Mus musculus: one gene and its partners. The protein of the gene in region 2 interacts with the protein of the main gene of each other region in a biochemical or structural test. Links are inferred from orthologs where the notes say so. Each region holds a gene or a part of one and is shown on either strand. Other genes may lie near its edges.

Region 1 (4,359 bases), on a different chromosome or scaffold from region 2:
TATATATTCCATATATAATATATAGTTTTCCTTGCATGTAAAGAGATATTGAGGTCTACACTGCTTAACTGAGCTTCTGCCTAGCATGTGCAAAGGTCCCAGATCCAATTTCAAGTACTACAAGAACCAAAGAACAACAACAAAAAACAAACCCCACTGGGTTTCAGATGTAGCCAGGTTCAAAGCCCTCAGAACTGGAACAAGCCCATGGTTTCTTTGATATCAAGTGAAAGAATTACAGGATCATTCTTGAAAGGTGACAGCTCGGGAGAGTAGATAAGGTCCTTCAAATGAGAGGCCCTGCTTTCTCCCTGACACCTTAGCACCTTCTGGCAGAGTCTGCATGGACAGCAGGCAGTTACTGAAAACCTTGTATCTCAGGTGACTGCCCTTCAGCTTTCAGCTACTGTTCTTTTAGACAGTGCAATGTAGCCAAGCCGGGTCGTGAACTTCTGATCCTCAGTGCCCCACTTGTCAAGTACTGAGACAACAGGCAAGCACCCTGTCTGGCTTCCTGACCCCGTCTGTACCTTCAAGGTAACTTAGTAAGCAGTCACACAAGACCCCAGAACCTTGGGGCTGGAGAGATGGATGGCTCAGTGGTTTAGAGCACTGACTGCTCTTCCAGAGGTCCTTAAATTCAATTCCCAGCAACCACATGGTGGCTCACAATCATCTGTAATGGGATCTGATGCCCTCTTCTGGTGTGTCTAAAGACAGTGACAGTGTACTAATAAAATTAAATCAATAATTCTTTAAGACTCCAGAACCTCACAAGCAAGCTAAACACTTTGCTGTCAGCTTGGGCTTCATGGTCAGACCCTGGCTAACTAAAATACAATATAAAACATGAAACAAAAGAGAATGCTATAATAAAATAGTTGAGACGGGTGTGGTAGCACACACCTTTAATCCCAGGAGCAGATAGAGGCAGTATGATCTCCATGAGTTTAAGGCCAGCCTGGTCTGGTAAACGTGCTGCGTCCAGGACAGCCAAGCCTACACAGAGAGGCTTGCTCACCACGCCCCAGGAAAAGAGAGGGGCAGGGGAAGGAGGACATGAAATAAAGTATTAAGTAAAATTATGAAATATTATTGTTTTCCAAAGAGCCCCGAAAATGACCGCGCATGAGCTACAGTGTTTCTTGTTTATTTCTACCTCGTATGTAAGCAGGAGGAAGCCTGCCCCAGCATGAACTCAAATCAGGGCGTGCTGCTATCCTCTCCCACTGTGCGCCCAGTGCGTTCCCATCTCCCACTCCCAACAGCCCCTCCACCTAGAGGCTAGAGCCCCTTTAAGAAACGGCCAGCGGAGCTTACCAGGAAGGAGGTGGTGTCGAGGGCGCGAGACGGACGTGTGCACAAGCCAATAAACACGGCAGACGCGGTGTGAACAGCCAATGGGTGCGCGGGGGCGGGGCTGCGTATCTGAAGCTGTTTCCCGAGGCGCGGCGGCCGCGGCTGGGGGCGGGGAGGGGGCACAGGACCCCGAGCGGGGTCCCCGAGCCGCAGGCACGTGTGACGGGGCGTAGCGAGGAGGCCGAGGCTCCCGGGGCCAAGGCCTCCCGAGGCTGCGGGAGGCTGGGCCTCCCGGGGCGGTAGTGTCGACCGGGCGCGGGGCGGCGTTGGGGTGCGGGGCGCGCGGGGCATTGTGGGGGCTCGGGGCGGGAGGGTCTCCGGTCGGGGCCGGATCCCGGAAGGAGCCCCGCAGGTGAGGGTCGCAGGGCAGGGACGCAGGGCTCCGGGGCTTCCTGGGGCTTAAGGAGAGGGCCTGATAGGACGTAGGGTTCTACAGCTGGGTTGGGGGCCTCCGCAGAGAGGCCTGGGGCCAGCGAGATGGTGCAAGAGTCCATATTGGTGTTCCCACTACTCTTTCGCTTTTATTTAATTTGAGACTGGGTCTCCAGTATTCTAAGCTAGTCTTCAAGTGGGTGTGTAGCTCAGGCTGGCCTTGAACTCCTGGCCTTCCTGTCCGAAGAGCTGGATGACAGGCGTGCCTTGCCACACCTGGTTTACAGGGGTGCTAATTCTAAAGCGTCGTGCTTGCTAGGAGAACGCTCTTCCAACGAATTACAATCCTAGCTTATGCTTTCAATTTCTTGAGTCAGGATTTCATGTAACTCATGAATTCCATGGCCTCGAATACCTGGTCATCCTTCCTCCACCTCCCGATTGCTGGAATGAAAGGCATTTGCTGATACATGGTTTCTGCAGCGTTGGGGTTAGAACCCCGGGTCTTGTGCTTGGTAGACAAGTGCCCTGTTGCCTGAGCTATCTCCCCAGTGCCCTACTACGATTAAAAGCTGGAAGCAGACTTGGTGATAGAGGCAGGTTGGAGCCATCGTCTCTGTTGTTGGGAGATTCAGCAAGAGACATTAAGTTTCTAGCACCAATCCTTTATTGCTGGATCCTTTAGCAGAGAAGGTGGCCAGAGTCAGGAACCTCTACTAAAAGTTCACCTTTTTCAAATGAATAAGTTATAAAACTTATAAAGATTGCTGTCCCAAGGCCTCAGTGACAGTCCCCACTGCCTCAATTACCCCAACACCCTTTTCTTGACATTCAGCTCAATAACTTTCGATCTTGACCCTCTTGTTAATTGGCTTGTTTTCTGACTTTGGCTAAGTGGCTTTGTCTTTTTTTTTTTTTTTTTTTTGGTGGTTTATCGAGACAGGGTTTCTCTGTATAGTCCTGGCTGTCCTGGAACTCACTTTGTAGACCTTGAACTCAGAAATCCACCTGCCTCTGCCTCCTGAGTGCTGGGATTAAAGGCGTGTGCCACCATGCCTGGCTGGGCTTTGTCTTTCTGTGCTTGTTGGATCTTTCCTGTGTAAGCTAGGGTTTCCCTACTTTCTGTGCTTATAAAGATTCCATAATAACAGCTAACCCAGCTGCAGTCTGTGGCTCAGCGTGTGAGGTCTGTGTTCCTTTCAACAAGCCAGGTTGGTAGGATGCCCAGCGAATATACGATGAATGAAAGGGAGCTACATGAGGGATGGCAGTTGGAGGGAGTTGGAGGGGCTGCCTAGATGGGGTTATCACTGTCACACTTGCCTGTCCCCTTAGGGCCAGTTCCTGATCCCAGCAGCATGGCGTCTTGGGCTGAGCCCTCTGAGCCTGCTGCCCTGCGACTTCCTGGGGCCCCACTGCTGGAGGGCTTTGAGGTGCTCGATGGGGTTGATGATGCAGAGGAGGAAGATGACCTAAGTGGGCTGCCACCACTAGAGGACATGGGACAGCCTACAGTGGAGGAGGCTGAGCAGCCTGGAGCCCTGGCTCGGGAGTTCCTGGCAGCCACAGAGCCTGAGCCAGCCCCAGCCCCAGCCCCGGAAGAGTGGCTGGACATTCTGGGTAAGTGTGCTGGGTTGGTTGGAGGCACTTTGACCCAAGGACTTCTGGTCTCTTGAGCTTAGTTTCCCCTTCTGTGTGGGTTGGGAGTGACATTAGGACATTAATGGCTGGTTTTTATTTGTTTATTTTGACATAACCTTACTGTGAAATCCTGGCTGGCCTTGAACTCAAGATCCAGTCCAAGCTGGGTCTGCACTTTGAATTCTCCTGACTCATAGTCTCAGGCTCACTGGTCTCCCAGGCCTGTGCTGTGTGGTTGGCTTCTGAGATGGCTTGATGCCGGTGTATTTGTGAACTTTGTTTGCTGGCTCATACTTGGCATGCACACACAATTCGTAACAGGTTGCTTTTTATCTCCAGTGCTGGTAACAGCAGCTCAGAGAGGCTGAGTCACCTTCCTGGAGCCACACAGCCTTTGCACTGGGTGCCAGCAGCTCTAAGACAACTCCCACTACACATCTTCCCTAAGCAGAGTCACAGCCCGACAGAGCGTCTAATTCTGCTCCCCCTTCTCTAGTTCTACAGCATTTGTTCTCTCTCCTAAAGAGCCTTCTTTGGATAGTGCCAGCAGGAATTTTTCTTCTTCTTGTTTTGGAGTGGTGCTAGGGAGCTAGGAAGTGGAAGCCAGGGCCCCTGTATGCCAGGCAGAGACTCTACCACTGGGGCTCACCCTCAACCTCTCACTTGGGGGTTCTGGGAAGGGTTTTTTTAAATCCTGACCTGCAGGAGCTGGAGAGATGGCTTAGTGTTTGCTCTTCTAGAAGATGTGGGTTCAATCCCCAGCACCCATGGCTGCTCACAACTGTGTGCAATTCCAGTTTGAGAGAATCTGGCGCCCTCTTCGGGGTCTGCCAGCACTGCACTCATGCAGGCAGAGTGCACATAGACATGAAGTTTAAAAAAAAAAAAACAACACATTTAATTAAAAAAAAAAAAAAAAAGCCTAGAACAACCATGTTGGTTAGGCATGGGGGCAGGGGTGTCAAGGTGAAAGGTGTATTCAGCTTG
Region 2 (4,409 bases):
AACCAGAGAAAAGCTTAAATCACACGGTAAAATATGGAAGCTGAACCTCCCAAGATCCCAGAAAACTATCACCCCATAGATGCTCACCAGTGTTGTGGATACGAATCATTTTAACTTGTCAGGGCTGGAGACGCCACAGCTAAGTGGACTCCATTACCCCTTTCATAGGCACCCTAGATGCAAGTCCATTCAGCAGTAGAGATCGCAAAACTATGTAGAATGCAGGTAGAGAAAAGTAAGACATACAGTGGATGCAGACTTCTAAATCATCGCATATTCGTTGACGGACATGTTTAGGGTGCACACCCACCATGCCCACTGGGGACTATGGCATAGACAGACTGGATTCCACAAACATCCACGAATACCTACCTAAGCTTACCTTTTTTTTTTTTTTTTTTTTTTTTTTTTTACAAGCTTAGCTATGATTTCCAGGAAAAGGAGCCGTGTTGTTTTTCTTTGGGAAAATGTTCCCAAGTGAGTTAGAAAAGGTTTGCCTGCGTCCTCTGGTGGAGCCTGCATGTCTAGATGGACCTTTTAAAGTTTGTTAGTCCACCAGAGGAGCTAAAGATGCATAGGTCAAGAGGGAGTGTTGGAGGTCTGGTGCTTACACAGGACCCAGAACATCTGCAGCAAGCTACTCAGACGAACTAACTCTGAGAGTTACTGGAGGGATGCTATTATCTCCAGATCCTACTGGATCAAAAATGCTGGATTCTTGCTCCCTCACAGCCAGCGGGCAGGAGTTAACACAGTGTTGGCAGGGTGTGATGTACCCAGAGGAAGAGAGTGAGAGGTCAGGGGAGCAAAGCTACAAACTCGACTTTATTTCATCTGCTCAATGGCCCATTTTGACCCAGAATCCACTCACACCCCAACCTGCGCATCTTGGCCTTGAGATCAAAGCCCAGACTCATTCAACCAGACATGCACCTACCCAGCCTCCGTTATCCTGGATCCAGGTGTGCAGATGCCGGTTCAGGTACTCAGTCATCCACAGGGCGATGTTGTCCACCAGGGGTGACATCTCCCTGTTGACGCTCTCCACACACATGACCCCACCGAACTCAAAGAAGGCCACAATCCTCCCCCAGTTCACCCCATCCCTGAAGAGTTCCTCCACCACCGTGGCAAAGCGTCCCCTCGCGGTGAAGGGCGTCAGGTGCAGCTGACTGGACATCTCTGCGAAGTCACGACGGTAGCGACGAGAGAAGTCATCCCCAGCCCGGCGGAGGGTCAGATGGACCACAGGTGGCACAGGGCTGAGCGCAGGCCCAGCGGTGGCAACGAGGGGCCTGAGAGGAGACGTCCTGGCAGCCATGTCCCGGTGCACAGCGGGCATTGGGTTGCTCTCAGGCTGGAAGGAGAAGATGCCAGGGGTGGGGGCAGCCCCCAGGGGCGCCGCGTCCGCATCTCCAGCATCCCACTCGTAGCCCCTCTGTGACAGCTTATAATGTATGTACTTCATCACGATCTCCCGGTTATCATACCCTGTTCTCCCGGCTTGCGCCATCCTTCCCCGAAAAGAAGCTGCAGGTACCAATGGCACTTCAAGTCCCGACTCCCGCCCCACGGCCCCGAAAGAAAAAAAAAAAAAAAAGAATAGTTATAATCCAGCTCTTTTATTGGATGTGCTTTGCATTCTTGGATGAAGGGGTGTCTTTAGTTACACCGAACACTTGATTCTGGTGTTTCCCCGTTGGCATGAGATGCAGGAAATTTTTATTCAAATTCCTTTCTGCTTTTTATTTCATGAGGTACATTATTTATTAAGCTTTGTTAATATCAGTCTACTTCCTCCGCAATGCTGAAAGGTGAAGAGGCGGGACGACCTAGGAAGTTAAAATCAGGTGTGTTTTCCTTTATATATTTAGGGTAAGAAAGGTATATCCGCTACAAGTTACACGTTTAAAAATGCATTAAACTGTCTGGAAATGAAATTTGCTTGAATGCACTTGAAGTAAAAAAATATTTCAAACGCGTCCATGGAAAGTTATATTAAACAAAATTCCTGTGCAAAGAACTTACTGTATTTTCTAAGGACGGCATGATCTTCTGTCAAGTTTACCCTTTTTTGGTAAAACCCAAACAAATACATAAGGCAACCACACCATCGATCTTCAGAAGTCTCCTTGTATAAGCTTCTTTACAACTTGCAATGAATCGGGAGTTGGGGTCTGGGGGCTAGGTGGAGGAAAAATCAGGAGGGTTTCCAGATTGGGTCCTCACACTCCGGCTTCACTGAGAATGTCAATCCGTAGGAATCCCAACCAGAGATCTCAAGAGCACCGCAGCGGGGCAAAAAGGCAGCGGCGGCGGCGGCAGATGAATTACAATTTTTCAGTCCAGCATTTGCAGAAGTCCTGTGATTCTCCCTTCTTCTCGGCAATTTACACTTGCACACACACGCTGGAGCGCAGGCATGGATCCGTATCCACCGGACCGCTTCAGACCTCCAGGGCAGAGAGACACGCCAAGGGGACGATGGAGGAGCTGGGGGACCGGGACCGGAATCCTCTTCTGATTAAACTCCGAAGGGCCAACGCGCTTTCCGAAACGGGAAAAAAAGCAGCTTGCTAAATGCAGGCACGGACGCGCTGGGGCCGCGGGTGCCCAAGGAGCAGCCCGCGCACTGTGTGTGGTGCGCTGCGGGAGAAGGAGGTGGTGGGGGAGGGTTTGCCCCCCCTCTTTTTCCTAAAAAGGATGACTGCTACGAAGTCCCCCCCTGGTCCCCTCTTCCGCTGCACCCCACCGGCGCACCCCGCCTCCGGGCTGCGCACCCTTTCTCCTCCTCCGCTGCGGGCGGCGCTGGCGGCCGCCTCCTCGTGCTTGCGCCGCGCAGCCCGTTCCACGGTGACGGCTGCGGCTGGGGAGGGCCTGGGCACCTCGGTGTTGGCGGCGGCGGCTCGGCGGGGACCCGGACGCGGGGCGGGAGGACGGGCCGGGGAGGAAGGGGGCGGGCGCGGGGCGGGGGGCCCGGCCTCTTACTTCATTCTCCGCCGGAGCGCCTGGTTTCCTGTACGTACGTCACCGTTCATTCAAAAAAAAGAAGAAAGAAAGCCCTCCTCTGAGCGCCCGCCCGCCGCCTCCTCCCGCCGCCCGCCAGCCGCCCGGGTTAAAGGCGCCGCGGCCGCCCCGGGGAGCGCGCGCCCGGCCGCGGCCGCTGGCCTGGGTGGCGGCCACCCGCGGGCTACGCTGGGCCCCGGACCGTGGGTGGCGCGGGCCTCCCGGGCGGCAGTGGCTCAGTGGGCGTGTGAGGGGCCTCCTCGGGCCTGCGGGGCTGGCTGCTGGCTGGACGTGCCTATAGCCAGGGCCAGGCTGTGGCGAGGCACCTGGATCTTTTCTAACAGGATGGGCACAATTGCATGGATCTTTTTCAACGTGTACAGTGTGCACGACCGCATGGACTTTTTCTATGTAGCATGTGCAGGTCACATGGACCCTTTCTAACCGCGTGCATGGAATGTGCACAATCCAATGGACCCTTTCTAACCACACATAAAGTGTGTACACAGTCGCTCTGTGTGTGTGTGTGTGTGTAGTGCAGTGTATCTACAATCATGTGGACCCTTTAAACAGTGTAGTGTATACAACCACATATAGTGTATAAAATCAAACAGACCCTCAGCTAACCATGTGAACCCCCAAACACTATGTTATCAGCTCTCAGCAGCCAGAGAGATTACCGAGACATATATTGACTCCTAAGTAGTGAGTAGTACCAATATGCTACCCTTGGGTGAAGAGAGGCAACTCCCAACACAGTCTCCAGGATATTAATTACAAATGAAAATACTTAGAATAACAACGTTAGCATGCTTGTTTCTAGGCCCTTTTGTCCAGACACCACAAGCTGTGTAACTTAGAACAGGTCTGAGTACTCCTCTGCTCTGAAGAGCATGATGTGATGTCCACAACCAGCAAGGGATGTGCCTCAGAGGCTGGTCTTTCCTCATCTCTTCTTAGTCAGACAGTGGCAGACTGATGGCAGTCGCTGATGCTCTTGGCTTGTTAAAGAATAGTCAAAGTGGTATGCGGAGTTACTTTGGAGGTGTCCAAGCAGATACCACATGAGCACCCAGGCGCTTTTAGCCTCTATCCAGGCATACCCAACTTGGTGACCAAGGCCAGACCTAACTCGCAGTGGGCCAGTGAAGAGAGGAGAAGAGAACAGCAGAAGTTTGAGTTTCAGGGACAGTTTTTCCTCTGCTCCTAACGCTCCCAGCACTGGGCTGGGGCTGGACCTCAGGGAGTGATACCTGCCACCTTTCAAGGCCATGACCCTAACACGGCATAGGTACGGTTTTGGATATCCTCAGCTCTGACCAGCATGCAACCTGAGACGGCTTCAGAAGATGCAGCCATACAGATAATGTGTCTATGTACCCACAGACACACAGTGCCACTGT
Region 3 (2,868 bases), on a different chromosome or scaffold from region 2:
ATGCACTGGGACACCAGATCCAGGCGTGCAAAAGAGCCCTATTCTGGGCCCATGTGCTTGTCAATTCCCACAGGAAAACAGGGCTACGGCAGCTGTTTGTAACTGGCTCCCCGACCCCACACCCATCCCAATGCATTTCTCCAACTAGCCAGTACATAGAGGATGCTTGTTTCCTGATGTTGCCCTGGAGGGAGAGCCTTTCCTAACAGGCACAAAGGCATTGCATATGTTCTCAGGGCAGGGCAGATGGGCGGGCAAGACCTCACCTTGGAATAGTCCAATTTGGCAGTGCTAGGCCCGGAGTCCAAGTGTGCCCGGATGAGGGAAGTGAGAAGATTGGTAGGGGAGGCATCTGGAGGCTGCTTGGGTTTTGAAGGTAGCCGGCCCCGCCGCCCTTTTAGGCTGTCTGTCCGTACAACTGCAGAGAGACGGGCAGTATTGAGAAAGGAGACCTGGAGAAGGAGGGTCTTCAGGGCACACTATACACCCCACTTCTGAGAAGTCAGAGACAGAGAACTCAGACCATGATGGGGACCCCACAAGGCCCTCCTCACCCCACCCTTTCCAGAAAGCAGGTGGAAGCTACACCTGCATTTAGGGGCTGGAATCTAGAAGTGGGAGTGGGAATTAGGTGCAGATCCTGGTGAGCCCGGCTGTCCCACCCCATCAGGTCGCCTATGCCGAGGGCACCATCTTGCCACCCACCTTCCTTCACCATGCCCACAGCCAGGCACTTCTGGAAGCGGCAGAACTGGCAGCGGTTCCGCCGCCTCTTGTCCACAGGGCAATCCTTGTTTGCCAGGCAGATGTACTTGGCGCTTTTCTGTACTGTGCGCTGGAGGAAGGGGGGACACGGAACAGGCTGTCAGAGCATGGGGTTTGGGGGGGGGGTGGAGAGCCCAGGGGAGGGGACCGTCCAGATCCTGTGGCCGACGCAGACAAAAGCGCCCTCTGTTCATAGCTATTTTCCTAACATTTGGATGTAGGGGAGGGAGAAACGGAGGGCCAGAGCGCAGAGAGGAGTCTGGGAGATACTGGAGAAGGTTTCAACCTCACAGGGAAGATCCCAGAACCCAAGACCAGGGTCTAGGAACTCCCACGGCCGTCCAGACACCTGTTCTAACAGGTGTCTGCATGTGTCCACCTGCCCTTTTCCTGGCGCAGAGGAGAGGACTAAGGGGGTGGAGGTGGGGGAAGCCAAGCAGGCACCCAGCACTGGGACAAACACACAGCCTGTTCCCAAGTCCACCCCCAGCAAGAACCAAACCCTCTGCCTGTGTCCTTTCATCCAGTGCCAGAAACACAAGTTCTGTGGAGAACCAGAGGCTGCCCACTAGGTTTTCTGTTTCTGAGCACCACTGCAGGCCACACACACACACACCTTCTGCCCCCTTCCCCAGCTTTCTGCAGCCCTAGAGAGATGTGTGCCCTGCTGAATAAAAAGTCCCAGCCTCTAAGATGGCACACACCTGTCCCCTGTCCTGCAGGACAGAACCAGCTGGGAAGAAACCTCAGGAGAGGTCACTACAGATCCCAACGGATGACCCACTCCACCCCCACCTCCAACATGATATCATCGTCCCCCAGAACCAACAAAATACCTTGAAGAAGCCCTTGCAGCCCTCACAGGTGCGGACCCCATAGTGCTGACACGAAGCATTGTCACCACAGACTGCACAGCGGCCCTCGCTGCCACCTGAAGCCCCGCTCCGGGACTTGGTGGAGGTCACGGGTGCGTCCAGAATGCCGGAAGTGTCACGGTTCGGAGAGGTGGGTGCCAAGCCGGGGAAAGCTGCTGGCATGGAATAGCTCTCCCCCTCCCCAAGCTGGTGGGTGGCTGGTGGTGGGAACAATTTCAGAGAACTCTGGGCCAGGCTGGGGCTGGGGCCAGTGGGAGGACTGAAGGAGAAGAAGGTTGGAGGTGGCGGAGGCCCTGAAGAAGCCTTAGGCAACTGCTCTGTCCATGCCCAGAGGCCTTCATAAGTCTGGCTCGGGGAGAAGTGGCCAAATGAGCCGTCCCAGGGAGAAAGCTGGGACGGCTGGAAGTTGGGTGTAGATGGCGAGGGGGCTGAGCAGGGACTGCCATAGTACTCAGAGCCGCTGGAGGATAGGGTCTCATCTAATGGGCCGCTCAGGGTGCCCGGGTAGCAGCCGTACACCTGGAAGTCCTCAAACTTGAAGGACGCCGAAGCGGGGGAGGTGGCCGAGGATGAGGAAGAAGACGTGGAGGAGGCAGAGGAACAAGCTGAGGAGCACGGCTGGGTCGTCCCCGGCAGCTGGTAGAGGAAGGTGTCAAACTCTCCGGTGTACCCGTCCATGAAGGTGCTGAAGCTGGGCAGTGTAGCAGGTGCGGCAGGTGCTGTCTCGGGGCTGGCCAGGTCCATGGTAGGCTTGCCGAACTCAAGGGCCAGGGGATCACCGGTCAGGTGGTCACGCGGTCCTGGGCTCGTTGCTGGTGTTCCATATTGAGCTTGAATACAGGGCATCTCTGGAGAGGGAGGAGACACAAAGGAGGGAGGAGGAGGGGTCAGTAAGGGAAGCAAGAAACTTGGTAGGCCGGGGAGGGGGGTGGGGGGAGCCAGGTGGCAGGCCTAGACAAGGAAGCGGGTGTCAGGACCAAAGAACAGAAGACTCCCAATCCCTCAGCCCAAATGCTATCTCAACGAGTCACAAAGCTCACAGGCAGAGACCAGGTCCAAAAGAGCTCAGTCCGACGACCAGCCACACCCCAGTGGGCCGGGGGAGCTAGGAAAGGCTGTCCAGCATGTCCCCCCAGGAACAGGGGGAAGCTGTGTTCCTCCAACCCCCAGCCTCCCTGTTCACAGGTCAGGGCTGAGAGAGGCAACCCACAGAGCTTCAGCCCACCCC

Evidence for each region.
Region 1: the proteins of Bcl2 (region 2) and Fkbp8 form a complex in vitro, tested with the Homo sapiens proteins (4 studies listed by BioGRID, with this or other methods). The link is inferred for Mus musculus from reciprocal best matches to the Homo sapiens genes BCL2 and FKBP8.
Region 3: the proteins of Bcl2 (region 2) and Nr4a1 form a complex in vitro, tested with the Homo sapiens proteins (2 studies listed by BioGRID). The link is inferred for Mus musculus from reciprocal best matches to the Homo sapiens genes BCL2 and NR4A1.

The regions. Positions count from the first base shown.
Region 1 is NC_000074.6:70,526,325-70,530,683, forward strand, and holds the start of Fkbp8 (peptidyl-prolyl cis-trans isomerase FKBP8), read left to right. Parts: upstream 1-1,418; 5' UTR 1,419-1,512; exon of another isoform or gene 1,513-2,942; intron 2,943-3,066; 5' UTR 3,067-3,089; coding exon 3,090-3,351; intron 3,352-4,359. UniProt on the Homo sapiens protein: Constitutively inactive PPiase, which becomes active when bound to calmodulin and calcium. Seems to act as a chaperone for BCL2, targets it to the mitochondria and modulates its phosphorylation state.
Region 2 is NC_000067.6:106,711,368-106,715,776, forward strand, and holds the start of Bcl2 (apoptosis regulator Bcl-2), read right to left. Parts: upstream 2,924-4,409; 5' UTR 1,514-2,923; coding exon 938-1,513; coding exon of another isoform or gene 914-937; exon of another isoform or gene 798-913; intron 1-797. UniProt on the Homo sapiens protein: Suppresses apoptosis in a variety of cell systems including factor-dependent lymphohematopoietic and neural cells. Regulates cell death by controlling the mitochondrial membrane permeability. Appears to function in a feedback loop system with caspases.
Region 3 is NC_000081.6:101,269,703-101,272,570, reverse strand, and holds part of Nr4a1 (nuclear receptor subfamily 4 group A member 1), read right to left. Parts: intron 2,489-2,868; coding exon of another isoform or gene 2,487-2,488; coding exon 1,602-2,486; intron 836-1,601; coding exon 706-835; intron 419-705; coding exon 267-418; intron 1-266. UniProt on the Homo sapiens protein: Orphan nuclear receptor. Binds the NGFI-B response element (NBRE) 5'-AAAGGTCA-3'. Binds 9-cis-retinoic acid outside of its ligand-binding (NR LBD) domain.